2 linked regions of the Bombyx mori genome follow. The protein of the gene in region 1 interacts with the protein of each later gene in a pairwise test. Links are inferred from orthologs where the notes say so. Each region holds a gene or a part of one and is shown on either strand. Other genes may lie near its edges. The genes, in order: HMG box-containing protein 4 and mitochondrial matrix protein p33.

Region 1 (8,128 bases):
CCACCACACTAGGTGGAACTGCCACAGTTCAAACATAAATGGTAGGCGTCTCGACGCGTTTATAGACGACCTTACCTTTGAAGTAGTCGGTCCCCCAACTCCAACATGTCATCCGTATAACATCGCGCTCCGTCCGAGCACTATAGACCTGGCACTGCTGAGGAACGTAACTCTGCGCTTGCGTTCCATCGAAGCAATGTCAGAGCTCGACTCAGACCACCGACCTGTCGTTATGCAGCTCGGTCGCCCCCACAACCCAGTCACAGCTACGAGGACCATGGTGGACTGGAAGAAGCTGGGCAAATGCTTAGCCGATGCCGCTCCACCAATCCTCCCCTGCGGCCCGGATTCAACTCCCTCCCCCGAGGACACAGTCGAATCCATAAACATCATCACGGATCACATCTCTTCCGCGATCATAAGATCCTCAAAATAAGTCGATGTGGAGGATAGCTTCCACCGCATCAGACTGTCCCCCGAACTTAGGAACCTCCTAAGAGTTAGAAACGCGGCAATCCGGGCCTACGATCAACTTCCCACGCACTCAAACCGGATTCGGATGCGTCGTCTACAGCGGGATGTAAAATCTCGCCTAAGCGACGCCCGAAATGAGAATTGGGATAGTTACTTAGAAGGACTCGCGCCCTCTCATCAAGCATACTGGCGACTAGCAAGGACTCTCAAGTCCGAAACTACCGCTACTATGCCTCCTCTCGTACGCCCTTCAGGCCAACCACCGGCTTTCGATGACGATGACAAGGCAGAGTTGCTGGCCGATGCACTGCAAGAGCAGTGCACCACCAGCACTCAATACGCGGACCCCGAACACACCGAGGCAGTCGACAGGGAGGTCGAGCGCAGAGCTTCCCTGCCACCCTCGGACGCGTTACCCCCCATTACCTCTGACGAAGTTAGAGAAGTAATAGACAACCTTCAACCTAAGAAGGCACCCGGCTCCGACGGCATCCGCAACCGCGCGTTAAAACTCTTACCAGTCCAACTGATAACAATGTTGGCTACCATCTTAAATGCTGCTATGACGCACTGCATCTTTCCGGCGGTATGGAAAGAAGCAGACGTTATCGGTATACACAAGCCGGGCAAACCGAATAATGAAACCGCTAGTTACCGACCGATTAGTCTCCTCCCAGCGATAGGCAAAATTTACGAACGGCTCCTTCGGAAACGCCTCTGGGACTTCGTTACCGCGAATAAAATTCTAATAGACGAGCAGTTTGGATTCCGCGCCAAACACTCGTGCGTACAACAAGTGCACCGCCTCACGGAGCACATCTTAATAGGGCTAAATAGGCGTAAACAAATCCCGACCGGCGCCCTCTTCTTCGATGTAGCGAAGGCGTTCGACAAAGTCTGGCACAACGGTTTGATCTACAAACTGTACAACATGGGAGTGCCAGACAGACTCGTGCTCATCATACGAGACTTCTTGTCGAACCGTTCGTTTCGATATCGAGTAGAGGGAACTCGTTCTCGTCCCCGTCATCTGACTGCCGGAGTCCCGCAAGGCTCCGCACTCTCCCCGTTACTATTTAGTTTGTATATCAACGATATACCCCGGTCTCCGGAGACCCATCTAGCGCTCTTCGCCGATGACACGGCTATCTACTACTCGTGTAGGAAGATGTCGTTGCTTCATCGGCGACTCCAGACCGCAGTAACCACCATGGGACAGTGGTTCCGGAAGTGGCGAATAGACATTAACCCCACGAAAAGCACAGCGGTGCTATTCAAAAGGGGTCGCCCTCCGAATACCACTTCGAGCACCCCACTCCCCAGTAGGCGCGTAAACACCTCCGCCGTTAGCCCCATCACTCTCTTTGACCAGCCCATACCGTGGGCCCCGAAGGTCAAATACCTAGGCGTCACCCTCGACAGAGGGATGACATTCCGTCCCCACGTAAAAACGGTACGCGATCGCGCCGCGTTTATACTAGGACGACTCTACCCAATGCTTTGTAGACGAAGCAAACTGTCCCTCCGTAACAAGGTAACCCTCTACAAAACTTGCATACGCCCCGTCATGACGTATGCAAGCGTAGTGTTCGCTCACGCGGCCCGCACCAACTTGAAACCCCTTCAGGTAATACAATCCCGATTCTGCAGGATAGCCGTCGGAGCACCATGGTTCCAGAGGAACGTGGACCTCCACGATGACCTGGAGCTCGACCCCGTCAGTAAGTATCTACAGTCGGCATCGCTGCGCCACTTTGAAAAGGCGGCACGACATGAGAACCCTCTTGTCGTGGCCGCCGGAAACTACATACCCGATCCTGTAGACCGTTTGGTAAACCGTCGACGTCGCCCAAAGCACGTCATCACGGATCCTCCTGATCCACTAACGGTGCTTTTAGGCAATACAAGCACCGGTCACCGTCCTCGCCGAACCCGTCGCTTGCGACGAAGGGCTCGACGAGCGAATTAACCCACAGACACAGCCCACTGAGTTTCTCGCCGGATCTTCTCAGTGGGTCGCGCTTCCGATCCGGTGGTAGATTCTGCGAAGCACTGCTCTTGCTAGGGCGGTGTTAGCAATTCTCCGGTTTGAGCCCCGCGAGCTCACCTACACAAGCTAGGGTAAGCTGAAATAGCCTCTCAAGGCTATCAGCATAGGTAGGAAAAAAAAAAAAAAAAAAAAAAAAAAAAAAGACCCGAAAATAAAGCCGCATCCATACTAAGAGTAAACCTCTCCCCGTACAATACCATCGTCTGACCGATTAAAAACTAGCAACCGATACCCGGGTACCCTTTATATTCTTGGTACAAATGTATAGTAACTTAAAAAAGAAAATTGAACTTTCACATTTTTGGAAAGTATTTATAATTGAATATAACAGTTGAATTTCGTATAGTGTTCTTAGGAATTCTAAAGCATGTATAAAACGTGTGTGGGTTCACTGTAAATTTCTTATTTCTGAAACGGCCAGGTAAGTATATAAACTAAGGGGATATTTAAGAGCATATATTATTATTTAGTTGACACAATATACTTGTTGCCAGTTGATTTGCTATTCGGGTTCCCGCCAAAACGTTTGTACATCCGATCAAAATTCGCATATGTCCGGCGCGGCGGCGGCAGCCACAATACAACACAAGATTCATTGACAGATGCCTGAATCTCGCTAACGACATTTTCAAAATAAGTTTGAATCTATATTTTTTTTTTTTTTTTTTTCCTACCTATGCTGATAGCCTTGAGAGGCTATTTCAGCGTACCCTAGCTTGTGTAGGTGAGCTCGCGGGGCTCAAACCGGAGAATTGCTAACACCGCCCTAGCAAGAGCAGTGCTTCGCAGAATCTACCACCGGATCGGAAGCGCGACCCACTGAGAAGATCCGGCGAGAAACTCAGTGGGCTGTGTCTGTGGGTTAATTCGCTCGTCGAGCCCTTCGTCGCAAGCGACGGGTTCGGCGAGGACGGTGACCGGTGCTTGTATTGCCTAAAAGCACCTTGAATCTATAGAAGATCCAAACAACAGCATTGGGACCATCAGTCTACGTAGCAATTACACCCATTCGACGGTAGACCTTGCCTTTGTCATTAATCTCCCAAAAGCTTAAATTACTGGCTTCTCGTGTTCTTCTAAAAGGCCTATTGTACTCCTAGTGAATTTCTCCTCGGAGTATTTTTATCTCATCGAACACTTTTATTCTGCTTTTTAGTTGTGTCCATTCCACACTCATCATTTCGTTCTCTTTACATTCCGATCTTTGTTTAGTATGTTTCGTCTTGTTCCAAAAGGCTTGGCTCTTAACCTCGGTTTCTTTTGCTTATCATATAAATCAAACAAACGAAAAATAAAATGAAAATAAACTGCCATCTGTCATTTCTAACACTTATGCTTGGGTTTTATTATTTATTGATTTTTATTAACTCTTTTAATACGACTGTAGAAAAGACGTGAATAAAGAGATGCAGGAAGGTAACTAATAAATACAATACATTTACTGTATGGAATTCAAGTCAATATAAGTTTTAAACGTGTTTAATAACACGTAAAATGATATAGTACTTTAACATCATTTTGATTAGTGGTATTGTGTTGTTAAGTAATAAATAAGTGATCAAGGGCAAATCACGGTCGTCTGGCCCTATACTGGGACTCTGTCGCAACCAAATTATGGATCGTACGTATTTAAGACATGAAATACTATTTCAGATTTAGAAGTCACCGGTATATCGAGGAGTGGTCGGGTTAGAAAGAAGAGTTCCAAGCTAATGGACTTTGAGTCGCCCGACGATATCGAGACTAGGTTCAGGCGCCAGACACCCGTCAAGACATACACCACAAGTCGTCAGGAGGAACCTGACTACAGTATCCAGGAAACACCTCAGAGGCCGGTCGAGGAGGTGAACACTGCATCGGGAAGCGAATCTGATTATTATGAGAATAATGCTGAAAACGCTGATAGGTAAAGTTTCACCACTGGCAGCCAGAAAATAGTCCCTTGAGTAACTTCTTAGCATTATTCACTTAAACACCTCCTTATTCTATATTAAACAAAAAAAAAACTGTATACACATTATGTTACAACATACAAGTTGAGTTGAATAAATCTGTTTTAAACATTAGTAAATAATCTCTGAAAAACATAAGAACATAAAATTTATTGTATACATGAAATGTATAATACTCTAATTCTTATTCATCTTTCTTTCTTCTTCTTCTTCTTTGTCGTTTCCTCATTCCTGAGGGTCGTGACCACCTTGGTCCAGTTTTTGCATCAGCTTCCTCCAAGGCTGCCTGCATTCGGCCTGCTTAATGGCGCCCGGGACTCTGGTGTTTGTGGCCTCCTTGATAATGTCCGTCCACCTTTAGGTTACCTAAAAACTAGCAATTTTCTCTTAATATATAATAAATTTAATAGCTGTGTATTTGTTATAATATAACTGCTATGGTTATATTGTTTGTTAATTGAACTTACAGATATATTGAAAAATAGTTTTGTAGTCCGGGCTGATTAATGCGATAGCTGTACTGCATGTCAAAGTAATTATCTGACAACTTATCAAAAGTGGAAAGACAAATTTCGCATAATATATTAAAAACTCAGTGCCGCTTCAATTCACAGTAATGAATTTTACCTCTAGCTTGGAATCAGACAGTTCGGCTTCTGAAGAGGGATCGGCCCGTACTCCGGCTAACTCATTGTACATGATGGAGAAGAATAGTAAGAAGAAGCTAATTGTGAAGGATGGCCGAGTCATTGGCAGGGCTAAAGCTCAGCGAAAAGATAAAGGTATCTTTTTTCCCCCACCTAATCATTGGTAGCCTAAGGGGCTATTGCAACTTCAAATAGACCGATAGGTGAGATCACGGGCTTAACTTGAGAGAATTGCTAACACAAACCTTAGCAAGAGTGGTGCTTTCCTGAATCTACCACCAGATTAGAATAGGCACAGACTGAGAATATCCAGTGAGAAACTCAGTGGGCTGTGTCTATGGGAAATCTGTCTTATTACCCTTTGTTAAACTTGTATTATGTACAAAAAAACATAGACAAACAGTTTCTAACTAAGTATATTGGTAAGATGAGAAATTGCTTAAACTATGTATGAGATGAAATTTTATAAACATTTTCAAAGTTCCTACTAGCGCAATCTGGCCAAGCCCTGATGTATGCCATCATATTCATTTGAAACTAACCATGAAAAAACCATCCCTGAAGTATATTTAGATATACATACAATAGATCTTCTTATAAAGAAGTGAAAGGTTATGTGGTTTAATGGCACCATTTCGATTAATACGTGACAATTATATTTGTAATTAAAGATCTGTTTTATCTGATACTAGTTTTTGCCCGCGACATCGTCCGCGTGGAATTGTTACTTTGGCATAACAAATAACAATTTGTAATGAATATTTATTTGGATATCATCTCTATAAAAACACCTACATTAATAATTCTTTATTATAGAACAAATTTGGTTAGCATAAAAAATGTTATAGTGAGCCAACCTGAAAAGACATATACTCTCATGAATTTTTTTTCAGAGCTTTTAAAGGGCAACAATTTTGTCATACATTATTTTAGCGAAACTTTAACCGTTACCGCAGCACACGCAGTGGAAGCTCTCAAAAGGGAAAAAACCCTGATTTTGAAAGATTATTTATTGGTGCTCTGCTTACATTGGTCTAGCGCGATGTTATATAGCTCATAGCCTTCCTCGAAAAACGAGCTATCTGACACTGATTGATTTTTTCAAATCGGATCAGCAGTTCCTGAGATTAGCACGTTCAAACAAACAAACAAACTCTTCAGCTTTATAATATAGTATAAAGAATTCGAAGTTTTTAATTGAACTTCAATTATGTTTATCACATTCAAATGGCTGAAGTTTTTGTCATTGCATTTTTTCCAAACTTTGAACTTTAAATGATTTTACTGATACCACTGTAATACCACCGTGTTTCAAATTACTGTACCTTCACAGGAAAAACACGAATTACAGCCTATATGATGTGGGCGAAAGAGGCCCGCAATGAACTGCTTAAGAAACACCCTGATATGGATTTCTCGGCTATATCAAAACGACTTGGAGAAATGTGGTCTAATGTGAGTATAATGTAATAACTAGAAACAAATTTTGGGTTTTAAAAAAAGAAAGATTTGGTCGGATGGCCTTATTAAACTATTGCATAGCTTTTATCGCGGGGTATGAACGCGGCGACCGAATCAAGAAATTCCGTAACGAAAATAAAACCTAACACCCCACTCCGCCTACCATGTAGCTCGCGTTCAACACATTCATACGGTGCGCTTGTGTAATGTTTGTGAATAAGCGCGCGGCGTGACGTCGCACTACATGCGCATCATGAAAAGTCTGCCCATCTCTCTCTCGCGCGGTCCAGCTTATGAATGTGAATGGGACAATTAATTTTTTGCTTATATGTTTATAAATATAGCGTGGTCTTATTTTATTATTGTTTTAATATTAAATTATTATTGTCCAATTATAATTGCATAAGTTGATAAAGAATGCTATGCAATAATAGCTTTACCGCGGCAGTCCCCGAGTGCCACACGTGTTTAATTTTTCCACATTTCTGCACTTTCACAGATATTAAACAGTTCATAAAAAAACCGTTATTACACATTTAAGCCTGAAGAAACACTAAATAGACAAAATAAAACAAATCACACAATGACTCCTCTCGTTCCCGCCAAAAAGTCTCGACTGACTTCTAGTGGCGGAAATTCCGACTCAGATATGCCAGTGTTGCACGCTACAAGATATTCTACAAATATAATATTAAAATATAATATTCATACAATGACATGTACTTGTAGTAGCGATGTATGATGCATTAGAAAAAAAGGGTGCGTGTACTTATGTACGCGCGTAAGAAGTTATACTTTATTTTTATTAAATTCATTTCTTTATTTTTTTAATATTAAATAAATAATTAATAATAAATATTTAACGTTAATAATTTAATAATATTTAGTATGAATTATATTAAATATAAATACACAGTGAACAGAGGCGGCGTGCGTGCCAACACGCGCCACTAACAGAGGTTCCATTTCTGTTTTGTTGGTAGCATTTTTTCTTTAGTGGGCAACTTCATTTCTGTTCATTTTGTGTCACGGTGCGCGCGCATCGTAAAATTTCACTCGCATCAATTTTTTATAACGCGCCTAAAGAAGTATAACTTCAAAATAAGTTTAAGTCTTTTTGTCGGATCTGCTGTGGTCGTTATAGTTTAAAAGAATTTATAAAGGCCCACTTTAATAAAAAATATTCAGAGTATTCTTCTGTATGAAGTAGTTGAAGTATTCGTGAATTCCTAATGAATGTTTCAGGTGAATTACAACGAGAGATACTTGTGGAAGCGCAAAGCCAAGAGATTCGCCATACAGAAGGAGCAAAACAATCAAGTTATCAACAAAATCATATCCAATCCGAGTAAGTTTACACTTTATAGACTTATTGTTGTGTGTGTGTTGTGTGTGTGTGTGTGTGTGTGTGTGTTTTGTACAGCCCCATAGATATCACGACGTAAATGTCGCCTTGTGACATGAGGTCGGAAGGCAAGTCTCAAATTGTAATAAATTATAATATTAAAATGTTTGTGCCCCACTCTTTAAACTGGAACATGTAA
Region 2 (8,059 bases), on another chromosome or scaffold:
TTCAACTTTAAATTAGTCTACTGCAAAGTTCACGCATTGTCGCTTAGTCACATTTACCTTTCAAGGGTTGATATGGTATATTAATACATTGGTTTCTAGGTATGAAAAGTGATTCAAGCTGATAAGAGTTATTAAATATGAACTATCCATTAATCTGAAACTATATATCAGATCAAGTTGTTCAAGCCAAGTTAGGTTCTACAATATGGAGTCCTTAAGAGAGTGAAAGTGTCAGAGCCAGACCACTCAAATATCAGTTATTTCCTTTTGAACTCTAAACAGAAGTGGGCTATTTGGATTGTCCATACTCCCATTCTGAAGTTTGAGACAATTTCCTTGTTACTATCACACCTCCTACTACCAGAGCAGAGTTCACACATACTATCTTGACAGTTGTGTTCAGATACTTTTTGCCACATGCCATGCAACTCTAGGATGAATACCCTTCGCAGTATTTACAGAGTGCCATAATATATTCTTCTTTAAATGAGGTCTGCAGAGTCCTCAGAAGTAGACAGCAGCTTGGCTGTGCCCCTGTCATTGCCCAAATCCATTAGCGAAGGTAACAACTTATCATCAAGTGGGCCACATGATTGTCTACCTAAATGAAAAAAAAAAATTATTAGCAGAATAAACAAACCTTATGCTATTGTTTTTGAGTATACCCAGCACAGTGCCGGCAGATTTCTTTGTGAACAAGTACTGTGCTTCAACTGCATCATTCTCCAATAATGGCAACCATGATGAAGGTTGTTTGAGCTGCTCATCCATAAGTGGAGTGATGACTCTGTGGTCTTTACCATGTTTTTTTGTTTTTGACACTATGTACAGTTCTTGGCATGTGTTACAGTAGGCCCGGTCAGATACTGGCCTTGATCTAACCTATTCAAAAAAAGAGATTTATGTTTTCTTATAATATAAGAATGAAATGAACAATAAAAACTCTCATTACACATAACATAACATGACACTTAAAAAACTCAGTGGCAATTATGTACCAAATTACAATTAGTTTGGTGAAGGCGTTTTTTTTGAAGTGAAAACTTCTTTAGAATCGTTGTGATTTCAAACCGGATGCAACGGAAAAAACGACAGGTAAGAGACACAAATACAAAAGAATGAGACAGAAATATACATACTATTTAATACAGCGCCATCTGTGAGATTTTTTTAATACTAATGTGTGTATGAAAGCTCTTGTAGTGAATTTTAATTTAGGATTATACGTGAAATTAAAATATCAATTCACAGAGGGCGCTACCTTACAATTATTTACTAATGACAAAATTTTAAGACGTTTAGGATACAGTCAAACCTGGATAAGCGAGAGTTCAAGGGAGCACAATCTCATTCTCGCTTATAGAGGTTTCTCACTAACCCGAGTTTCTCTCTAATGCTCCCTCTGAATTTCATTTAGAGATTTTACGGATTCAAACGAATTCACTATTTTAAGTTTATCACTTAATGACAGTAGTTTAATTTTCCGTTTTGACATTATGCAGAACAGAACTTTCCTTCGCAATTGATTAACGATAAACTGGGTAAGTCTGACAAACAAGATGGTACACAGGCACACGTGTCCATTTGAAAAGAATGCCATAAAATAATAACGTTATTTAGTTCCACGAAATAGAATAGGTTCAATATTGACGAGAAAACAATACAAAAACAATGTTAAGAAGTTCCACGAAAGTTAAAAAATGCGTCATAAAATATTAGATTTTAAATTTGTAATTTGTTTTGTCATTTGTTCCTCCTAAATAATATAAATAAATAAAGCTCGACTGTCGCTTATAGAGGTATAGAATAGTAGCAGTCTCACTTACGGAGGTTCATGAGGGAAAAATACTCCCTCTTATAGAGGTTTCCGTTTCTCGCTAATAGAGGTTTTAGGAGCTAAAAATGACGGGTCCTGGCTATTACTCTCACTTATAGAGTTTTCTCACTTATCCAGTTCTCACTTACCCAGGTTTGACTGTAATTGTATTTTAATTTTGGAAGGTTTCACTTCTACCACGTGTGAATTGCACACATGTAAATTTTTTTTAAAGTAAGTATTTGTCACAATTTTACATTATTAATACACTACTATTTACTTTCTGATCAGAGTAGAGTTTGACAGACAAAGTGACCATCTACTTTATCCCAAAATTCCTGATTCCGAAACTTTTTTTTACCAACGTTACTTTTTAACAACTTTAAAATATCTTCCGAATTATCAATTACCAAACTCGGCAATCAGAAATCTGTAGAAAACATTCTAACCTCCGCAAAGTTATTCCACGCTTGATTTTTATTGATCGTTGGAATTAGGCTATAGTACTTTTCATTTCGTTTCTTGACGTTCTCCTTCAACCAGTCTTCTTCGCTGATGTGTACTGTGCAGTCTTTTTTGTTCCTGCACGACGAACATGCGAAATATCGACCTTTTTCGCTAGAAAATAATAGTGTTGGCCCGTGCATGCACAGTGGGTGATTTGTTACGTCTTCTATGACTACTTCGACCGGTGCTGACTTAGGTGTGTCGCCCAATTTTGACATAATCTTTCGCTTTTTCGCCATTGCAAACTATTTATAATTTAATTTGCGTTTAATATTGTATAGCTTGAATAAAAACACGTTCCAACCAAGTCCAAGTTGTTAAATGTCAATTGTCAAAAACTTATCCTAAATTTTTATCGTTCCAATGGGCTAGCAAGGGGAATGTTGCCCGTACGTTATCTTATGTAACACACACCCGAAGTCTATTTAACAAAATTTATCGAGTTTTAAAAAAGTCCAGGTGGCTCTAGATGTACTCGTCATTTTACTGAAAAGTTATTTTATGTCACCAGAAATGATAAATGATCACTTGTGATGGTCTTATCTAATTTTACCTCATTTAAACGTTAGCAGTAGTGAAATAAAAATAATAAAAGCGAGATTAAACCGCAAATCACGTTTAAATTTTAAAAAATACCGAACCCGAAAAACTCATTTTACGAAAAACTACATTCAATGGATTTGTTTCATTTTTGTGCACTTTCACAAATGTTCAGAAATAGAATAAAACAGCTGGTTTTATGCAATTAACTCTCGAAGCGTTTAACCCTCAGACATAGCCACAGCCCACTGAGTTTCTCGACGGATCTTCTCAGTGGGTCGCGATTCCGATCCGGTGATAGATTCTGCGAAGCATGGCTCTTGCTAGGATTCGTGTTCACGGGGCTCAAACTTGATGACATTGCTATCATCAAGTTTGAGCCCCGTGAGCTCACCTATTAGTTAAGGCGATGCTGATATAGCCTCTCAAGGCTCAGCTTAGTTAGGTAAAAAAAAACCGGAGCGAATGAAAAAGTTTGATTTAAATTAAAGAAATAATTTGATTTAAATTAAGTAAATTATTTACAGACTCCCGCCATTTGACACAAAGTATTCGATTGCGCCAGACCGGGAATGAGTTCAGGATATGCCATCACCCACCTTGAGAAACAAAACTGGCATAGGCATGTATTAACAATAGGGAAAGGTCGATATCTATCCATGCATGCATGTCGCATATATTACTACCAGTTTTTTCTTTATATTTATTTTAACTTTAAATACACGGTTCCACCTTACGAAACAGAAGATTCAGTTTCATATTATGTTAAAAATATTCATCTCATCCAACTCCTAAAATGTTGCATCCTCTCATTTAAATCTATTTCATTTCATTCAATTTCATGTCCATAATTATTTCATTTATAGTTTTTAAGCACTGACTTCAGCTTTTCCGAAGCAAAAATCTTGTATAGGCTATTCCTTTGCCCCTCCAATAGACGAATCGTGAAACAACTAAAGTCGTCTGTGGTCTCAATTCTCATTCACTTTTTCAACCTGACTAAAGTTTTGTAAAAAAATTTAGAAAAGTGAACATTAAGTTCAATAAGCAGGAAAAATGAGCGGCATAGTTAAAGCGACCCATAGAGTGCTGCAAACATGCGTTAAAACTGCGAACTTAAGCGGGTTGGTTAGTCGCACACAGACGGCTGTGAAACGCGACTTTACTAGGGGTATATGGCACATGAGCTGCTCTCGAAGGTTAGATGGGACCCTGGCTTCCACCAGCTTGCTACACAACCATTCCAATACTTGCAGCTGCGGCTGCGGGTTGAAGGCGCTTCACACGAAAGGTATTAAATTTCCGGCTATCTCCATTATAGGTTATAATTACACCATGCTTCGTTGGTCTTTAAATGTATCACCAATAATAAAATAAGGTATTTGTTAACGTTAATTTAAAAGGAAATTATTTTTTCTAACAAATTTGTTGCACACAAATGACGAAATAATGGGAAATCATTAGACAAATTTAATACTTTAAATGCGTTTTCTAGCCGATAAAGAAGACGAACACTCCATTAAACCCAAGCCCCTTGGTGAGTCCTAATCCTATTCCTTAACTAGTAAGTTCTGCGGTGGTACTAGCTTCATGTTAAATTGATGAACTGAACAAAACTAAAATTATATGGACATATGAATATATTTAAATAAAATTTTGATCATCACCAAAAAGTACTAATACTCTGAACAAAATTTATCATATTTTAATATTATGTACTTACATCAGATCATTAGCCTTTTTGAAAAAAACACATCTTGCATCACAGGTTGTGCACTAAATGCAAAATTCAGAAACCTGGTGCGTAATATCAAAAACAAATGTACCCACTAACAATTCAATTGGATAATTTTTTTTTAATACAATACAAATAAACTATGAGTTCTCATTCAGAAACAAAACGGGACAATTAATCAGGGTATGGGTTTGAAATGCATCAACATTCTGTAGGTCCAATGCTTAGCTCATTCAAATCAATTTAGTAACAACAATAACATTGAAGATTAAATTAATTAGTCATTGAGGTAAATTTGGGAGTTTACAGAATTATTCAAAATTAAAAAAATCATCCCTGCAAAATTATCTTGGGCCTTTCAAAATCAGAAAGGTCTTAGAATCAAGCAGGGTACATTAAAAACACACTTTCATCCAGGAATGAAATTAAAGATTTTCATTCCTGCATAGAGGTATGTGACATTCTTTCCAGTTTTAGTGTGGGTGTGCTCTTTCTTTCAATTTAGAATAGGAATAACATTTATATTTTAAAATTTAAAATAATCTATTTCACCATTTTTAGAATAACGATTATTTCAAATCCTAATAACATGTATTATAAACATGGATAAATTTTTCAATATCCAATATACATAATAATATATCAATGTATAATGGTGATAACACGTGTTGCAATACTGTAGCACTGTATTTCTATCACTAAGCAGTTACGTGTTCAAGTTTGAAGGCATTAAATAAATCAATTAAGATCACAATCTCATGTTTCAAGGTGGGTGACAGAATTTATGTTGTGATGTCTGTAAGTTCTGTAATCACTTAACATCTGGTGGTCTATGAGCACATTTACCATCTAAGCAAATTCAAATTCAAATTCAAAATCATTTATTTCAACTTAGATGTCAGTATGACACACTTGTTGAATGTCAAAATACAAATAACAATGTTAACTCTACCACCGGTTCCAAAAAAAGCCACAGTCCTGAGAAGAACCGGCGAAACAAACTCAGCAGGCTTTTTTTTTTGTTTTTTTCTCAAATATTTTCTTTTTTTTAAATAAATAGAAATATTCACAATAAAAGAAAAAACAAGTCAAAAAAATACAATTAAAAAAAAAATTATAATAATGAAAAATGAAAAGGCCAGGAGTGAGCGCCTCATTCCCACGTAGTGCCATCTAGTAAATAATCCTTAGCTTTAAACAGTTTTCTTAAATCTACGAACAGGTAGTAGTTGAACGTTTAGTGGGATCTTGTTGAGCAAAAAAAGCATAAAAATAATTCCATTTGCTAATGGTATTCAATTAAATGTAATAATTGAAATCCTTAAATAGGACAGACATTACAAATAGGCAATGCTCATTTGCAGATAATCATTCATTTATTTATATTGTAAAGGACACCCTTGATTTTCTAGCCCCAATAGAAAACCTTGAAAAGTATTATTTTAACTTTAATTAGTACTGTGAGGATCTTTGATCAGTGTGCGCTGCATGTTGGTGTAGTTACTAATTAAAAAAAATAGTTACAGTCAAAACCGTTTACTGCGACATCGTTTAATACAACATGCCGGTTATAATAACCAAGAACAAAGGTCCCGGCTGAATGCCATATGACCGCCTTATTAAAAATATTGGTAATAACGACATACCTCATAAAACAACCACATTTAACTAATATTTCGGAGAATTAGATCTGTTAGAACGACCGGCTAGCTGTATTGTAAACTATTTGAATAGGTATCCACATTTGTCTTCAATGGCTATTAAAATCAGGAAAGAAAACAATAGGATTTAGTTTAGTGTAGGGTCTTTTCTAATTCTTAGAAACAAAACACGTGCATGCGGTAGTCAAAGCCCGCTTCTTCATATCTCTTCAGTTAGTTTGTTACTTATCTATACACAAGACGCACCAAAACTTTGTGGAGTTATTCGTGAAACTTTCAAAATGTCGCAAAGAAAAAGAAAACAAATTAATATTGAAGAAAAATCGCGTATTATGTAAATATATTTTTCCAATAACTCTCTATCGATTTGTTTGTACTTGCACGATACACATTAAACATCACCGGTTGTTACGACTATCGGTTTTTGCGACTTAATATGAGCAGTCCCTTCGATGTCGTTATAACAGATTTTGACTGTATATCCAAACTCGCTATCTGTAGTACTATTCTCTACTCTAAAAATGTTAACATCCTACTAACTTATATTCTGACAGGCACAATGAAATATAGTGTTGAATAGTATAGTTGGATTTTCTCTGTTGATCTGCAGTTATTACTATTCATCATTATAATCAAGAGTAATGTAAATCTAATGTAGTTGTTGTAGTTAATAAAATAGTAGTGAAATGAGAGAAATTAAAAAAATACCTTGTTTGTGTATTATAAACTTGTTGTTTGTTGATTAAAATTCATTACCTACTTATTGAATGTTTTACAGTATTGTAGAATAAATTGCACTTATTTTCATTCTCAATGTACATAATAAAACCAATTTATATAAATTCAGGTGAAAGAGAACTGGTAGAGTTCCTGACAGAAGAAATAGTTGCTGAACGCAAAGCACAGAAGGTCAAGTCTCTCCCTGCTGAAGTCGAAGGCTTTACTGTAAAGGGAGACGGTGCTGAAGTTGTTTTAACAAAGCAGCTTAAAGATGAAACGTAAGTAATGAAATCTTGAGAAGGAGAAATATTGAATAATTTTTTTTTGGGGAAACAGTTGTTAATAAATGTTGCCAAATACTTATTTTACTGCCCAGCAATCTTCGTCAATTTGTTGAAATTCGAAAAACTAAAGAAACAAGCCCACAGAAATATCATTAAAAATAGTGAAATTTTAAGTCTAACTATATATTTTTTTCAGAATTCGTGTCACATTCAACGTTAATCACACTGTGGACTCTGATGACTTTGAGGGTGATGTTCAGACTGAGAAGCAAGAGTTCTCTGAGATGCGTTCCAAACCTCAGTTTGAGGTTGACCTAGTCCGAGGAGACACCACCCTTGGTTTCACCTGCTCCTATCTTCAAGATCCACCTGCAGCTTCTGCTGATGAATATAGTGAGTATACATAAACTTAATTATTTCTTGATTCTGATTAATCAAATGGGTCTAAAGATTGAGTACTAAGAAGTCAAAATAGTCTGTTTACCATATCGACGCTTGAAAGACAAACGTGACTAAGCGACAATAACTGCTTTGTACATAAATGATAGGTAATAACCATATTCAATGCACAAAAAAAAATATTTCTAGGTCTATTAAAAGCATTCCAATCCTACAGCTACTAGCTAGATTCTACTACAGCTAGATTCATTAAAATAAATTTTGTTTTCAAATATTTCAACTTTAAATTAGTCTACTGTAAAGTTCACGCACTGTCGCTTAGTCACATTTGCCTTTCAAGTGTCGATATACAATTTACAAAGAAAAAAGTTTATTTCAGTTTAGAATTTGGTGATAG

The links.
Region 2: the proteins of HMG box-containing protein 4 (region 1) and mitochondrial matrix protein p33 interact in a two-hybrid assay, tested with the Drosophila melanogaster proteins (2 studies listed by BioGRID). The link is inferred for Bombyx mori from reciprocal best matches to the Drosophila melanogaster genes CG4617 and P32.

The regions. Positions count from the first base shown.
Region 1 is NC_085129.1:19,397,309-19,405,436, reverse strand, and holds the start of HMG box-containing protein 4, read left to right. Parts: upstream 1-3,693; 5' UTR 3,694-3,930; coding exon 3,931-3,940; intron 3,941-4,177; coding exon 4,178-4,430; intron 4,431-5,109; coding exon 5,110-5,258; intron 5,259-6,456; coding exon 6,457-6,578; intron 6,579-7,829; coding exon 7,830-7,932; intron 7,933-8,128.
Region 2 is NC_085114.1:15,033,928-15,041,986, reverse strand, and holds the start of mitochondrial matrix protein p33, read left to right. Parts: upstream 1-3,809; 5' UTR 3,810-3,919; coding exon 3,920-4,154; intron 4,155-4,358; coding exon 4,359-4,400; intron 4,401-7,106; coding exon 7,107-7,257; intron 7,258-7,459; coding exon 7,460-7,656; intron 7,657-8,059. Other genes in the region: rRNA N6-adenosine-methyltransferase ZCCHC4, read right to left, coding at 641-882, 2,266-2,562.